2 linked regions of the Lytechinus pictus genome follow. The protein of the gene in region 1 interacts with the protein of each later gene in a pairwise test. Links are inferred from orthologs where the notes say so. Each region holds a gene or a part of one and is shown on either strand. Other genes may lie near its edges.

Region 1 (7,841 bases):
AATCATTTACAAGTTATGAAGGAAATTCCTGAGTTTGAAACATGTCCTTTCAAGGATAATTGGGTTTCCATGAAGAGTTGTGCATGGAGGAATTCCATAGCATATAATATTCTCGACATTCAAATGCTCATAATTTTCTTATTGTATGTCCAATATTACTCATGCTTTCGTTGATCCTATTTTATTTTTGTGCTGTCACACAATCTAATTTGTTCCATGCATATATAGGTTTCATTCTCCCTGGATCACTAATATAGCTCCCCCAAATCATGACAATTTTAGAAAGACATCAGAATGATTGCATGTTGTTCTGAGGAACTCCATGAATATGATATTCAGTTTTCACTAATCACTATTTAGTATGAAATAGGGAGGAACTATGGACCTCGATTTTGCCTCTGTACATATTATACAGGGGGCATGGCCGTACGCAGCGGTTGGGTGGGCAGCAGCTGCCCCCAAAAATGTTGAAGACCTACATTTTTTTTACTGAAAATTTTCATAAATTTCACCAATAATGTTTTATTTATTTATTTATATTGTTTTATTTATTTTATACTGCAGGGTAGGCCTGTTCAGTTCTTAAAACTGCTTTACAAAGGCGCCCTGCAGTTTAAAATACATGTCAAGATAACTATGAACAACAACAACAACAACAAACAACATCAAAAATACAAAATACAAAATATCTAACATCAGAAACAATTAACACCAAAATATAGAGTGGGAAGTGACAATTTAAACATACATAGCATTGTAAATCAATGGAATATCATTTCGCTCTTTATCAATTCGTATGAAAGGCTTTGCATAATTTTTTAAAAACTAACAAGGAGGTACAAACTTGTAAATTTGAAGGAAGTGCATTAAATAATTTGGGTCCGACATATGCGAAAGATTTTCTTTTATGTTCAATTCTAGCTTTGGGAAGCTGAAGGGGGCATCGTAAAGAATGTTCACAAAATCCTTCAAATTCACTTTCAAAAATGCAAAAGCACCCCAACGAAACACTGGCATTCTGAATAAACTAAAATATTTTTTTCCTGATCACATTTTAAAAACATTATATTCCACACTTGTTTTATCCCATATGAATTATGGAATATTGGCCTGGGGTAATTGCAATACAACCTTAATTGATAAAATATTCACGATACAAAAACGAGCAATTAGGCTGGTTAATTAAGTTGGTTTTTAATCCCATAAAAATCCATTATTTTTCCAAAATAAAGTACTCAAAATTTCTGATATATATGCATTTCGATTTGATATATTCATGTTTCAGCTTTCAAAAGATGAATTGCCTGATATATTTGCTTCTATATAATATATATGTTTCAAAGGAACAATCTAATCCACACATATCCCACCCGGCTAAGTGACTCATATCACCTTCCGCGTACTCGCACTCTCTTTGCTCAACGAACAATTGCATTTGAAGGGCCCATGCAGGTTTTGGAACGATCTTCCCCATGATATGGTACATAGTGCCTCACTTAATATATTCAAACGTAAATTGAAAGCGATGCTTATCAATTCTTATAATTTCCCTGTGTAAACTGTTATATACAAGTACTTTGTTAATACGCTCTGGCTGAGTAATGAGTAATAAGTAGTCATAGAGTGGCAGACTCTTTTTTATTTATTTTTATTTATTTATTTTTTTGTATTCCTTACATATCCACAATTGTCACATTTTGACATTACTTTATTATTATCAATTTACTTACCTGTCCTCTCCTACTCATTAAGACTGATATTTTTTCTGGATCCTGCAGACTTAACAAGCTTTGCTTTTTTATGCAGGGTCCCTCATATTTCACTCTTTTAAATTGTCTTTAATTCTAAATCGCTATTTTCTTTAAATTGAATTAATTGTTATGCCTTGTCTGATTTGTATTCTCATGAGTTTTCTGATATTGTTTTCATATTGTTGTTTGTACTTGTGAAATGTGTAAAATAAAGTCAAATCAATCAATCAATCAAATCAACGAGAAGCTCGGGAGCTTCGCCCCCTCGTTTTTGAGGTTTTTCGAAACTTTTTTTAAAAATCCCATATACGGCCTTGACATGAGGGGGAGGGTGCAGGGCGCACTTGCCCCTCAATCCTTCCAAATGTTACATGACCGAGAAAAGAAAAAGAAAGAATATTTTTAAAGAAATTAGAAAATGATTTTCTGTATACTTTGAAGTCAAAATATGTTACAATTCAATTGGATTTTTATTTTATAAAGTTAAATTCGTTTTCTCTTGTAACTTTTTTAATTTATTTTTTTATTTGTTTTAAAGGAATTCCCGGACCAATAGGCCTATTCTGATCGTCCCCCTATAAATTGTGTAATCATTACGTGATTTGCTACTATATGCCTCTAAAGGCCACCGCACACTGACCATACGACTGGTCCACGATCCGATGGAACAAATCGCATTTTGCTTATTTTCTGAAAATTTTGGTGAAAAGTATCATTTTTTTGAGGTTCAAAATAGCTGAAATAATACTAATATAACAGTTTGGGATGATTGCAAGCCTTTATTTTGGAGTAAAGGTCAAATTAGTTTCAAATCGTAGCTAATCGTAGGACGGACGACTAGACTTCGCTTTTTTATTTTAAACATGGCAGCATAGTCATAGATTTGAAGGTATGTATTCGTAAGATGATTTAGAACAATTTACACAGTACGATATTCCATGTCTCAACATTAGCATCAAATTCTACTACGTTCTATTTAAAAGTCGGGTCGCAGACAAATCGTAAGGTGTACGTCATCATGCTTATGTCAGATCAGAGAAGAACTATAGCCGGGGAGCGATTCTTGCAATATCAGAGAGGCAAGAAAGTTGGAACCAAAGCGACCGAGATGAATTTTATGCATAGATCTATAGTCAGTTCGTGCATTAACTTCACCTTCGAATTAGGTGGTTAAAATCTTACAAATATATTTTTTTTAACTTTTTACTGTTTTTTTCCTTTGTCTATCTCCATTACGATTTACAGGCCTACGCCCTGTCAAATTACCACGCCTACATACAGGCGCGTAGCCAGGGGGGGGGCGGTGGGGGCGGTCGCCCCCCCAAAAAACGTCCCCAAAAAGAAAAAAAAGAAGGGAAAAAAGAGAGGAAAAAAGGAAAAGGGAAGAGAGGAAAGGGAAGAAAGGTAGCTTTGTCGGTTTTTTTTTCTTTTTATTCTTTTTTTTCTCAAAAGAGAAACTCCTTCACTCTTCCTGTAAATTTATATATGAATTTTGCTTCCGCGCTGCGCGCGGTTAAATGACAATATTGAAGTTCTCCATTGTTTCCCCCACCCTTTCTCTAACCCTGCTTTTCCACCTCAGCTATATGTGTTTCTTGCCAGTTAAAGTTCAAATGTATAGATTAGGGCATGGAATTAGAGTAAGGTTAGGCCGAAGTATATGAAGTTATCTTTTTTTTTTATTGATCGCGCAACTTCTGGTCGGGTCGGCTCCGGGCGGGTAAAATCTTTATATCAATTTCTGCCGTCACCTCCATAAAGTCAACTTCTCCCGCTTTTCAGGTCAACAACCATAGGTAAACAACCATAATTTGGGGGAAACAGGTTCCTAATTTAAAAAGAGGAATGTATAAAATTCGTGTCGTATTAAATAAAAAAGTACAATATTTTTTTTCAAATTCTATTAATCTTCATGTTATTTCCCTGCACATTCATCTCCTGTCCTATTTGTTCGCCCTCAGTTTGAAATTTTGAATGACACTTAGGTTTCTTTATAATTCAAAATGAAGCGCTTCAGGATAAGTCAAAGAAATTAGGCATCCTTTTTTATATAATTTTAATAAATCACAGAAGTTTCAACTTTTTGCGTACTATTTTCCTTGTAATGAAGTTCAATAATCTTAGGTTATCAATTGAATTAGAGCCGATGGGGTATTAGACATATCTGCATTTGATGAAACGTCCGCCCTTTAAAATTTCAGAGTTTTATTGCTCTGCGCGGGGAGGAATATCTTCCTCCCGGCATATACACTTCTTCTCCTCTGTTTTGCGAGTTAAAGATATGCACTGTCGCTAAATTGTTTGTAATCAAATCCGATATTTCCAAGGGAAGTATTCAATATGTCTTTGAGAATACCCTTTTCTCGGGACCCTTTTCATGGCAAAAAAAATTGAAAAAACGCTTTAGCTTCCGCGCTTCGCGCGGGGTTATTATGATTTTAATTTCCTCCATTGTATACCTTTTTGTGCGTTCACAATCACTTTTGAAAACAAGGTTCAAAATCACAATAAAGTCAACTGAATTGGAGCTGATATAGGTACTAGAGACAAGAGAGACGGCTCCTTTTCATTTTAATTTATGACACACCAAAAGCTTCACGCTTCGCGCGGGAGGGGGAAACTCCCCCTCCCTGCACCCACCCCCCAGGGAGCGCGCTTCGCGCGCTCTGTAAGTGTTGGCACGCTTCGCGTGCATTTACCGCCCCCTCCAAAATGAAATCCTGGCTACGCGGTTGCCTACATAACATCTCTTCCATAAGGTTGTAATCACTGGAACCATCGCCATCAAAATGTAGTTTTAACGTTAGAACAGGGGCCCGTCATTTCAACCCTTTTCGATCATGGGGTTTTATATAGTGCCCCCCCCCCCTAAAGCTCCACCCGGGGCCAGGCACTTGCCCCCTAACGTTAGATATGCCACTGCTGATTCTGGCAGTTATTGAACTAGTTAAAATACACATGTATACTACATTATGTACATATGGAATATAATTATACTACATCATGATTTTTTACGGTTGCAGACCATGTGCGCATGAGCAGAGGCCCTGACAACGACGACGCCGTTGATAAACGAAACCAATAATATCGAATGCGTAATTCTACGGACGCGTCAAATGTACGCGCGCCGTCTCATTAGTTGCGTAGTAAATACGAGCAGCACACGCGGACGTCTTGGTTGAATTTACCTTTTTAATTATCACCCTTTTCCAGCTTTTGTAAGTATCAAGTTGCAAGTTTCTAATAATGAAATAATATTTTAAAGCTAAAACTGTGATATTGTATCGTGAAGAATGTTTCAAACGAAAATCCTAGCTTTTAAACGGTGTTTAAGTCAATCGCCCGTCGACACTCTAACCCGCGAATAGCAGAATTGCATGGTTATCCACGCCTGTAGTGTCGGCGGAAAAGTGACCTAGCCTCTTGCTCATGCTCGCTCATAATTGCGAGCAATGCCGCAGTGCAATTGTTGTAATTGACGTTGAACGGTCAATCAGCTTGTTCGCGCACATTCATCTCAATAAGCGTATTACTATTATGACGTGTCAATTGTTTCATCATTAATTAGGAAATATAAACAACATAAAAAAAGTAACAGAAACAATATCACAACAACAACAAAAAGAAGAAAGTGCACAGAATTGGCACTGGCTTGACTTTTATTTTTATCTTGTTAATGTTATGTTATTAAATGTTACTAGGCCTAATACACTAGTCTAGTTAGTTTAGTAACATTATTTGGATTTTGGAATGGGATGGGCGTTTTGATCAAACTTGAACTTTTAACTTATTGAAATAACATAACGGTACCGGTACGGTACGGTACCGTAGTTTCGAAAATCAAAATTTTGAAAGTCAACCAGCCAGCAGCAGGTTTCCAGGATAAAGATGAAAATGAAAGGTCGTCGCAGTGAAGGGAAGGGTGGATCAAAATCAAATCAGGGTTCTAATGAAGGGGCAGAGGATTCAGATGAATTCCAAGTTGAAGAAGATTATTCTGTTGCTCAAACTCCAATCTACATGGATGAGACATCGATCCTGAGAATGGTATGGGTGGGAATTATTCAACTCCATGCAAGAAACAGAAGAAAAGTTTGCTCACTTAAAAGTATCCTATTTTTTAAATTTAAGCTGTCTTGGACAGTGTTAAATTTTTTTGTGAAAAATGCAATTAATACAGTTTTAAAGCATTGTTTAAACAATTTTATCAATTTGATGTATCATTTCCATCTGTTTCATTAATATTATTTTACATTGGCCTAAATAGAAAAATGCCCTAAAGTCTAGACCTTTAATGAAGTTGTTGTATGACAAGTGAAGTTCAAATATACACTGTACTGTAGGCCTACTGAAATCTAGGCCTAATTACATTTTGTTTGAAATACTGTAGCATACTCGTATCAATGTCTTATATTTTATGTTTTACCTCATTTCTTAAGATTAAGAGAGATTAAAATTTTTAAGATAAAGAATGATCTACTTTTAATACCAGTAATAACACAAGATCCCCTATATTATGGTGTATAAAAGAATATTCATTTTTGTTGCTAATTTCAATGAAGTATTGTATTCTATTTGCATTTTGTACATACATTTTGATTTACATTTTTGGTCGTGTTGTGAAACTAGATATAACTCTTCCATGCAGCTTTGAGAAATATATTGATGATTATATTTCTGTGAGAATGTACTTTAGCACTGATTTTAAATTGTTTTAAGGGTGTTTACAACAAGTACACACATGGGAAACACCTAAAATCTTTTCAGAATTTCACTGTTGTCCTCTTATTTCCTTCCTTAGGGAGAACTTGAATCAAGTGAAACATCAATGATGAATAAGCGAAGCAGTAAGGTGCGTGTCTATGTACGCACTAGGCCAACTGACAAGTTTGCCCAGGATATGATTGAGCTCGTTCCTGATGGCAAGGTAGGTTTTCCTCAAAAGTTTAGATTCATTAATCATTTATTGAAGTCTTTGCTTAATTGAATCTGAGTCTGGTGAAAATTCTAAGAATGATGATTTTACAAACGCAGTGGGAATATATTTTTGTGATAATGATGATTGGTGACTTATAGTCATAATTTTAGAGTGTTGGGTCATCCTTACAAAAAGCATTAATTTATGACATTGTTCATCAAGTGTTTCTTTTGGTTACCTCTTATGCTAGTAGTTTATTTTGAACAAGAATGCATCACAAAAAATCTGATTAAAAACATGCAATTAACAAGGGAGCAGTACATTACCACAATTTTCATGTACATAATGTTCATATATGTTGCTATTTTTCTGTTTTACAGTTTTGTTTTACTTCCATCTAATGATCTAACAATATTTTCATGCTAGATCATATTAAATACAATTTGTACAACTTTGTAGTTGCATGTAAAGATATAATTTCATGATGAAAAACAAAGGGTATGAATCATCATTCTTTATTGTCACAGAGCGTCAACATCCATGCCAAGAAAGATGTGAAAAGAGGCGTGGTGAACAATCAGATGTTAGATTGGTCCTTTAAGATGGATGGTATTCTTCATAATGCTAGTCAAGATAAGGTTTATGAAGAAGTTGCTTCACCTCTAGTCACACAGCTTCTTGATGGTTATAATGGTGAGTTTTTTAATATATTTTTTTATATAGATTATAGAACTTGATTTGCTGAATTTGCAATTTAAGTGTATTTTTATGAGAAAATTCAATTTTCCTTTAACCCCCCCCCCCCCTCATCCATGTGTGTGAGTTGTTATTTGTTATTGCTGTATTTTTGTATATTAGGAAATAATTTTGCTTACCAATTTGATGAGCTTTTTGGTCATAAAAGAAAAGCTCTTCACAACATACTGTGCAGTCCTATATGAAATCTGCTATCCAAAGGTATTTTTTGTGGAGCATTAAAAAAAAATGTGGAGGAAATTGTGATGCTATACCAGGAAAAACATTCCATGTAGAAGTAATTTTTTTCTTTTTACATCAATTGTTTAACATTTATGTAGCCTGCATGAATGGCTTTCAATGATTTCTAAATTGCTTTCCACTTATCTGAAGGCAGGTCAATTTGTGATATTTGTAAGTCAGTCTCCATTTGTTTA
Region 2 (8,187 bases), on another chromosome or scaffold:
ATAAAGAAGGAAAGAATGAAGAAAATAAATGAATACAGAAAGGAAAGCTAGGAAGTTAAAAGAAATACAAGATAGATGAAATGGAAAAGGGAATTCAGGAAGGATACAAGGATGAAGAAAGAAAGAGAAAAAGAAAAATCAGGAAGGAAGGAAAGAAAGAATTAACAATGATGGAAGGAATTAGGAATTAACAATGAAGGAAAGAAGAATAAGGGAAAAGAAAGAGAAGGAAGGAAAGAATCTAGCAAAGAGAGAATGAAAGCAAAAGAATGGAAAAGGGAAAGAAGGTATGACAGAAAGATTGAAAAGAAAAAGAGCCTGAGGAAGGGAGCAAAGAAAATTTCAAGGAAAGAAAGAAGGAAGGAAATAAAGCAAAAAGAAGGAAAGCTAGAAAAGGAAGGAAAGAAAGAAAAATGAACAGAGAGAGAATGGATCAGGAAAGAAAGCTAGGAAAGACAGGAAATAAAGATAGATGGAACAAAAAAGGCAAGCAGGAAGGATAGAAGAAAGGAAAGAAAAAAAGTTCAAACTTCAAGCAAACAAAATAAAATCCAGTCATCTAACAAAATTTACCCGATATTTTTATTTTAGAAAACTGTTAGAAATTGTTAGAAAACTATTATGTTTCAGGAATGAATAAATTTCAAAGTGAAACATTGTCAAACTTCTTCTCGGGTCACTACACAAGACCTGTCCAGTGGAGGGTTCAAGATCTGGCTTTGGGGTTCAAGAACTCAATCTTCGGCAGTGCATGGCTCTGGTAGGAGGGGGCAGACCAGAAGGTGTTGCATTGTCTGATCCTCCCCACACTCACAAACAGTGTCCCCATCTATGTTATAGCCCCATTTCTACATAAGGACTTTGCACCGTCCTGTTCCAGGCGTAGGCGATTCCTCACTCGAACCTGGGGGGAGTGACTCGCAAGCTCCATAGGTTAAGCTTGTGCGTCACAGACTGGAGGTGGTTGACCCTTTGATTGTGAGCAGAGCCATCAAGGAGTTCAGTTGAGTGAAAGAAACTAAGTCTTGATTTGAGTCTCCCCCTGGCGGGTCCATGGTTGCAGAGTGGATGAAGAAGACCATCTTCTTGTTTAGTTTTTGTCTCACCTGCATAGCAGAGTGAGACTATAGGCGCCGCTTTTCCGACGGCGGCGGCGTCGACACCAAATCTTAACCGAAGTATGTGTTGAATTGGCATCATAACTTAGAAAGTTGGACATAAGGGTAATCAAGTATTACTGAACATACTGCCGGAGTTTCAGGTCTCATGACCAAGGTCAAAGGTCATTTAGGGTGAATGAACTTAGACCATGTTGGGGGAATCAATATCGAAATCTTAACCAAAGTTAAGTTTTTGAAATGTTGTCATAACTTCAAAAGTATATGGACCTAGTTCTTGAAACTTAGACAAAAGGGTAATAGTGTATCCCTGAATATCCCTGTGTGCGTTTCTGGAACATGGCCAAGATCAAAGGTCATTTACAGGTTAATGGCCTCTGGCAGTGTTCGGAGTATGTGTTGAATTGGCGTCATAACTAAGAAAGTTTATGGATCTAGCTCATGAAACATTGACATAAGGGTAATCAAGTATGAATGATTGCATGCTTTGCACATGTCTTAGGTCACATGATCACGGTCAAAGGTCATTTTGAGGGAATGGACATAATATTTTATTATCATATCAGTGTTTTCTTCTGTGAATAATTTATTCATTAGCTGTTTTCAAAGGCAGCACAGCTGCTATATCGAATAGCGTAATGCAGGCTAGACTGCCAGAGGTGTTCCACTTGTTTTTTCTTTACATGGCACTTGTCTGATGCTGCTCTTTAACATTAGTAACAGGGCTCGAAATTGGTGGCGGTCCGGGGGCAATTGACCGCCTAAAGCTCCGTCGGGCACCCTAAAAGTCGGGTAATAGTGCCAGGGCTGACCACCAGAAAAAATAAATGTAGAAAACCGAAAATGAGTAGGTCTAAAACGAATGAAACCTCTCTCATGCAGAGCGTTTAAACTTGGAATATTTTGTTGATTAAGTGCTTACAAAAATGATAACAATTGCATTAAAATACTTGATACAGGTTTGAAAATGATACAGAGGCAATTTGTCAAAAAAATGAACAATGACTGCATTGTATTCACTGTTAAACACCAACTTCAACGAGCTCCAAATAAATTTTAACCCATCCGGCCTTCCCCTCGATACACAGTGTACATGTTCGTATTAAAATAGAACACACACAGAACAGCTAATTGCTGATCTGTGATTGGCCAGCGCTCTACTGATGGGAGTTGCTTTCAAGCGCGCGTGTGACCATTATCAGAAAAGGTCATGACTTCAGAGAAAAAATCAACCCCTCCCAACCTGTGTGGGTGTGTGGGCCGGAGAGAGAGAGAGGGGGAGGGGGGGGGGGGAGAAAGATAGGGGGTTGGAATAATTGAATGCGGGGGGGGGGAACCCTTTCATGTTTCAAAACAAAGCAAAGCAATCTGTATAACCCCTCTCCTCATACACAGGCACACCAATTTTCCCCAGAGGCCTAAAAATAACATTCCAACAGAACCCTTGCCTATTCATTCCATGTCTCGACTAGTCTCCAAATATAGACCCAGTTATAGGTTCAAATCATCAAAAAATTAATTTGGAACTTAGGAATTTTTATTTTTTAATTGAATAATATTTTGCAATTACTTTTTTTTTAATACAGTGTGTAGCATCGTGGGCAGTGCAACAAGCTTGGGTATGGCACTTAGGCAAGGGATGAATTTTTTTCCCAAAAAAAGGGTCTCTGTCACAAGAATACAGCGTGAATGTATTGTTTACTGTGAATTGGAGACAAAAAAGACGTAATTGGACTTTGGACTGAGCTGTGAACAATGATCTGGACTGATTCATTCATATGCGGGGGGTGTATAAAAGCATTGATTCAGGAAATTTTTTTAATTGAAACAATAAACTGAAAGTTATTTCATGTAATTTCTTTTGACATAGTCAAAGAAATCAAAGGGGGAATAAATAGTCATACTTTCATTTGTGAGAAACAGACCCTTAATGTTCAATGCAGTGAGGTCCAGTTGTATAAGTGTGGCATTGAGAGTTGTAGGTTTTCTGCATTTTGGGTCACTAATATAGGTCAACTTTTGCGATTTTAGAAGACGTGATTCCCGACGAACAATCGAATCATTCCATTGTTTTTTCAGGAAATAATCGAATGGTAAAAATGACATTCGTCCCAGGTCTAAACGACATGATCACTTGTTTATGTTTTGCCTCATCCAAGCCACTTGTGGTTTTGTTCCCACTCTTTCTGTAATGTATACTTCTGGGGCCCATTTCATAAAAAGTTGCTATAAATTCTTTCGCAGCCAGAGGCTGAATTGTGGAATCTTTTACAAATCAAAAATATAATCATTACATAAACATCATAAATAATTACATACCCGGTAATGCAAAATTTAAATACTAATATGATATCCAAAAACAAACTATGAGTACAGGATATCATGCATTAAAAGAAAACAAATTAAGCACAGAGACTCAGAGTTTACCTTAGAGAGAGTGACATAGAGAAAGGGACAAGGACAGAGAGAGACAGTTACACAGAGAGAGAGAGAGAGAGAGAAACATGGACAGAGAGAAAGAGAAACATGGACAGAGGGGGGGGGGGGGGGGAGGAGCGAGGAAAGGGGGGCTGAAAGTGAAGCCTTTATATCAAGTTAGTACATTTAAAAAAAGGAAAAAATAGTTTACACATGTGACAGACCAAATCATGACAACAAGTCTTGGTTTGATTCACTTTATGGAGTGAGTGCACTTCAACATTTCCGCAGCAACGACTGTTAACTTGGTGTGATGTTTTGACAATAAATTTATCATAACCATGATCAAATGTGAATTGAATGATGTTCTTTCCAATTTCAGTTTGGTGAAGTTGTATTCATTTTATTATGCATGGTTTCCCTCAGTGTTGGTGAGGGTGTTGTGCTTTTATTTCAGGAAATGTCATTGACCCTTGTTCATTTTAAAACGTACCTCTAACTTTAAGTCTAAAAATGAACATGAATGTCTCAAGTAAAACAAAGGTGTGAAAAGGATCATGAGTAATTTTTGTTATCTCCTTTGAAACAAAGGCTTGAGTTTGTCCTTTTTAATCCACAGAAAGGTTCCACCAGTAATTTAGTGTTTGGCAGCAAACTTACACTTATAGAGTTGATACTTTACAATTTGTCATGATACAATATTTTCAATATGCATGTGATGACCACCTAAACTGCCATTTCACCACCTAAAGTTCAGTCCAGGGTGCCCGGCTGACTTCCAAAAATTAAAGTTAATCGAGAGGCCTGATTAGTTTTGTTAATTTCTCTTTGCAAGTTGTACACTTCGATTTTCAATGAGTCTGGTATCTGTAATAGTCTAAACAGCTGAAATCCTAACCATATCCTGTGTGACTACTTTCAAAACAAGGTCATAAGAAACCTACTCTCAGCACTTCTTATGCTTGAAGGTCAGTTCTAGAGGTGCTTTTGTAGCAATTCAGAAATTAATTAAGCTAAATTTTATCAATTCTTTTCATAAAACCAGAAAGCTGTCTTTGTGTGTGATCATGATTTGTACACAATTGGTGCTTGAATGCTGAAGACCCGCGCTAAAACACTTCAATTCAGCAATTGCATTTTACCAGAGATGTTCTGTCATAAAAATCAGGCACTGATAAGCACAATGGTATCCCTGACAATGAGTTGGTTTTAATGAAAGCAGCCTTTTTAGCAGTGTTTTTCTACTTTTATTTCAACCAACATTATGTCAGGGTGAACTTCTCCTTTATTATGTCAGCCTTCATCTGAAATACGGCTCCTACAGTATTGGTAGCAGATTCAAAACGAGATGTCAATGACCATCTTGCTACACTCGGCAACCTCTGAGTTAGCATATCCAACAACAAATGACATGGAGTCTGAATCTTTGTATGGTCCCTTTCTTTTTACCTTTCTTTTAGCTGCTTGCAATGCTAGTTGCTCGACAATGAAACCTTGCAAAGTTGACATTGTCTGTCATCATGAAACACTAATCTACAGTAGATCTATGATGAGTCCATTATATTCCACACTGTGTGGTTAATCTCCTTATCTGTTATTACTCTCTTAAAATTCATTTCAACAGAATGTGCATCAGAAGCTCTGAAGAAACAGAAGGAAAGGCTGAAGAGATAGACACATCTTATTTCAAGTAAGTCATTTCCTTTTAAAACAAAAAAAACCATGACCCTGTTGAATAAGTCAGTGTCGTGTTGAATGATATTGTCTTCAAATGTGTTAAAACAATTTTCATTTTCATTTTTATTTGAGCAGTATTACTATTGAACTGTTTATTGAAAGTAGCATTATCACTTGGTAAGTTCTATGAAACAATGTCAATATGGCTTGAACTTGCATGCATGTAAATGCATTACTTGTAAGTGACTGATTGCATATAATTATAATTCTATATTCTGAAAATAATACTTTTAAGGTGGATTTATTACAAATTAAAAAACATTATTTTCTATGAAGAGAGATCTTGATGGTTTATGAGTCTTGAGTTTTCCATCAATCTACCAGCTGAAATTTACCTGGCTGAATCACATATGAAAGATTTAGAAAAGAAATGGACCCTTATGAATTCTTGTCAGGCACTCACATATTAGAATTCAGAAGGTTTATAATAACATGCTATGTAGAGCCTTCTGGAAGGTAATCAACTAATAGCTGAACTACCGGTAGCTATCTTGGGTTATATTTTTTTACAGGTCATATGAACACATAGGGATTCATGAAGAAATGATCAGAGATGTTGTTAGAACAAATTCATACAGGTAATATATATATATATTTTTCTTTTCTCTTGTTTTCCTGATAATGAGACTTAAACAGGATGCTTGATACAAAGAATGTAAGTTTCTCAAATATACCAGGCTGTTTTTTAACCATGTAAGAAGTACCTGCTTGATATAACTTTGAAAATGTTGGGTTTGATGTTTGTTTTTTACTTTTTTTGACTAGTTAGAAAAATATTCCTGTGATAAGAACTGAAATGGTAACATATCTGTAATATCATAACTCACATATACATGTATATATCGTGAATTGGTTAGTTGTTTTTTTCAATAAACCCTTTAAGAGTGTATCCTATTCCATTTTAGCATGTATTCATATGCTGCTCTGGTCTAATTTATAACAAATAATTCCTCCTTGGAGTAGTAGTAGTCCCAATTCCAAACCGATATGACGCTTTTAAGATGTCATCCATACCTTTTCATTTTGTTGTCCATTTCCTATACTCGATGTTATTGTTGTACCTCTAATATTAGGTTAGCCATTTTGCGGGCCAGTGATGCACTCATTGGGAAGGTGGTTGCTGATGTTGGAGCAGGTACAGGTAGGTCATATGATCAAACGTTGATCCAGTCGGATTAGACAAAATAGTTTTAAGAGGCCAACTATTGTGCAAAAACATTATGGCCCCTAAAGTTGAATTGTATTCAATTCAGGTTTATTGCGAAAAAAAATTATTGCAGTCACAGACTGAATTGTACATGTTTACACAATGCCAATATATGAAAATAATCAAAATTATTTAGAAGATGAGCAATGAATATACAAATTAAAATTACATATGTGCAGTTACAAATGGAGTTAAAATGGATAAAAATAAAGTTATAGATAATACAATATTGCACACTCATTACACAAATTGCAAACTTATTTACCATGGTACTTATTTAAGAATCTTGTCAGACTTGGAGGAGCACTGTTCTGAAATCTTTTTGTTTTACATGGAATCTCATTATATTTATTCATATGTCGTAAATTGAAAGCGTCTGTTTTCAGTGGATGTAACCAGTTTCTGTACAATTGATTAATTTCTAACTTTAAAGTTTAAGTTTTAACTCTTCGACTTTCAAGTGATGTCAATTTTAAGGTATTTAGAGCCATGTCATATGATAGATACTTGGTTCCCAATATTATCTTGCATGCTCTTTTCTGGACAGTTTCAATAACTCTTATCTGTTTCAAAGTAAGAGAAGCAGTGAATAAAGGTATACAACACTCCAGGACTGGTCTTACATACCCTATATACACTGTTAACAAATCACATTCAGGTAGATTGTAAGCTTTCAATCTTCTTAGCATGTATAACTTTTTATTGCTCTTTTTCATTATTTCGGTTACATGAGCATTCCACTTTAAATCATTCTTAATTGTAATTCCTAGGATTTTCACCGTGGTTACACATTGTAATGGCATGTTATTTATATAGATCACTTGCGGTTGAAGAGGTTGTTTTGAAAATGAAATTGACATTGTAGAACATTTTGATGCATTGAGTTCCATATCATTTCGAGAAGTCCATGATTCGAGTAATTCAATTTCAGTTTGTATTTGTGAAGTTTGATTATTCATTCTACACTCTACCATGGTTAATTCATCTACATATTTAAAGTATGACAAAGTACTATCACTACAGGCACCCTTTATCATTATCAAAGATAAAATGGGACCAAGTTTGGTGCCCTGAGGTACACCCGTAACACTGCATTTTGATTTCGATAACTGGCCTCTATACTGCACAGTTTGTTGGCGATTACTTAAGAAATCTACTACTAATTATATAACCAGTGTGCTACATAAGCACTTGCCCAAATTGGGCAAGCAAAATTCTCACAGTAGAATGACCAAAATTAGGGCCGATGATATGATATTGACCCTAATTTTGGTCATGGCAGGCAAGATAAAATCACTTTGGAAAAAGAAATGCAATAACAAGGTAGATCAGTTCATTTCAAAAGAGAAAAAAGGTCAAGGGTTTATAAGGTAAAACTATTTTTTCAAGGATTTTATCGGGCAAGTGAAATAGATTTTGGGCAGGTATATTTCAACTTTCAACGTTCAATTTTTTTTGCTTGTCAAATTTTTCTTTGGGAAAATGTGCCCCACCCGACTGGAAAATCCTGGATCCGCCCTAGATCATGGTGTTCAAAAGGAAGCAGAAAGAATGTCATGTCTGTATTGAAAGATTGAGCTTATTTTAATTCGAACATGACCTTGTAAGCCAGATTGTTTCACAGATTTTTTCTTTGCACACTTTTTTTTGTCATATTATTTTTATTCATTTTTGATACAGGTGTTTTGAGCTGTTTCTGTGTGCAAG

What was found.
Region 2: the proteins of kinesin-like protein KIF9 (region 1) and protein arginine N-methyltransferase 6-like interact in a two-hybrid assay, tested with the Homo sapiens proteins (2 studies listed by BioGRID and IntAct). The link is inferred for Lytechinus pictus from reciprocal best matches to the Homo sapiens genes KIF9 and PRMT6.

Annotation. Positions count from the first base shown.
Region 1 is NC_087245.1:27,249,183-27,257,023, forward strand, and holds the start of kinesin-like protein KIF9, read left to right. Parts: upstream 1-4,834; 5' UTR 4,835-4,969; intron 4,970-6,552; 5' UTR 6,553-6,579; coding exon 6,580-6,678; intron 6,679-7,196; coding exon 7,197-7,362; intron 7,363-7,841. UniProt on the Homo sapiens protein: Essential for normal male fertility and for progressive motility of spermatozoa.
Region 2 is NC_087247.1:70,355,976-70,364,162, reverse strand, and holds the start of protein arginine N-methyltransferase 6-like, read left to right. Parts: upstream 1-4,927; 5' UTR 4,928-5,161; coding exon 5,162-5,226; intron 5,227-5,785; coding exon 5,786-5,851; intron 5,852-6,346; coding exon 6,347-6,414; intron 6,415-8,160; coding exon 8,161-8,187. UniProt on the Homo sapiens protein: Arginine methyltransferase that can catalyze the formation of both omega-N monomethylarginine (MMA) and asymmetrical dimethylarginine (aDMA), with a strong preference for the formation of aDMA.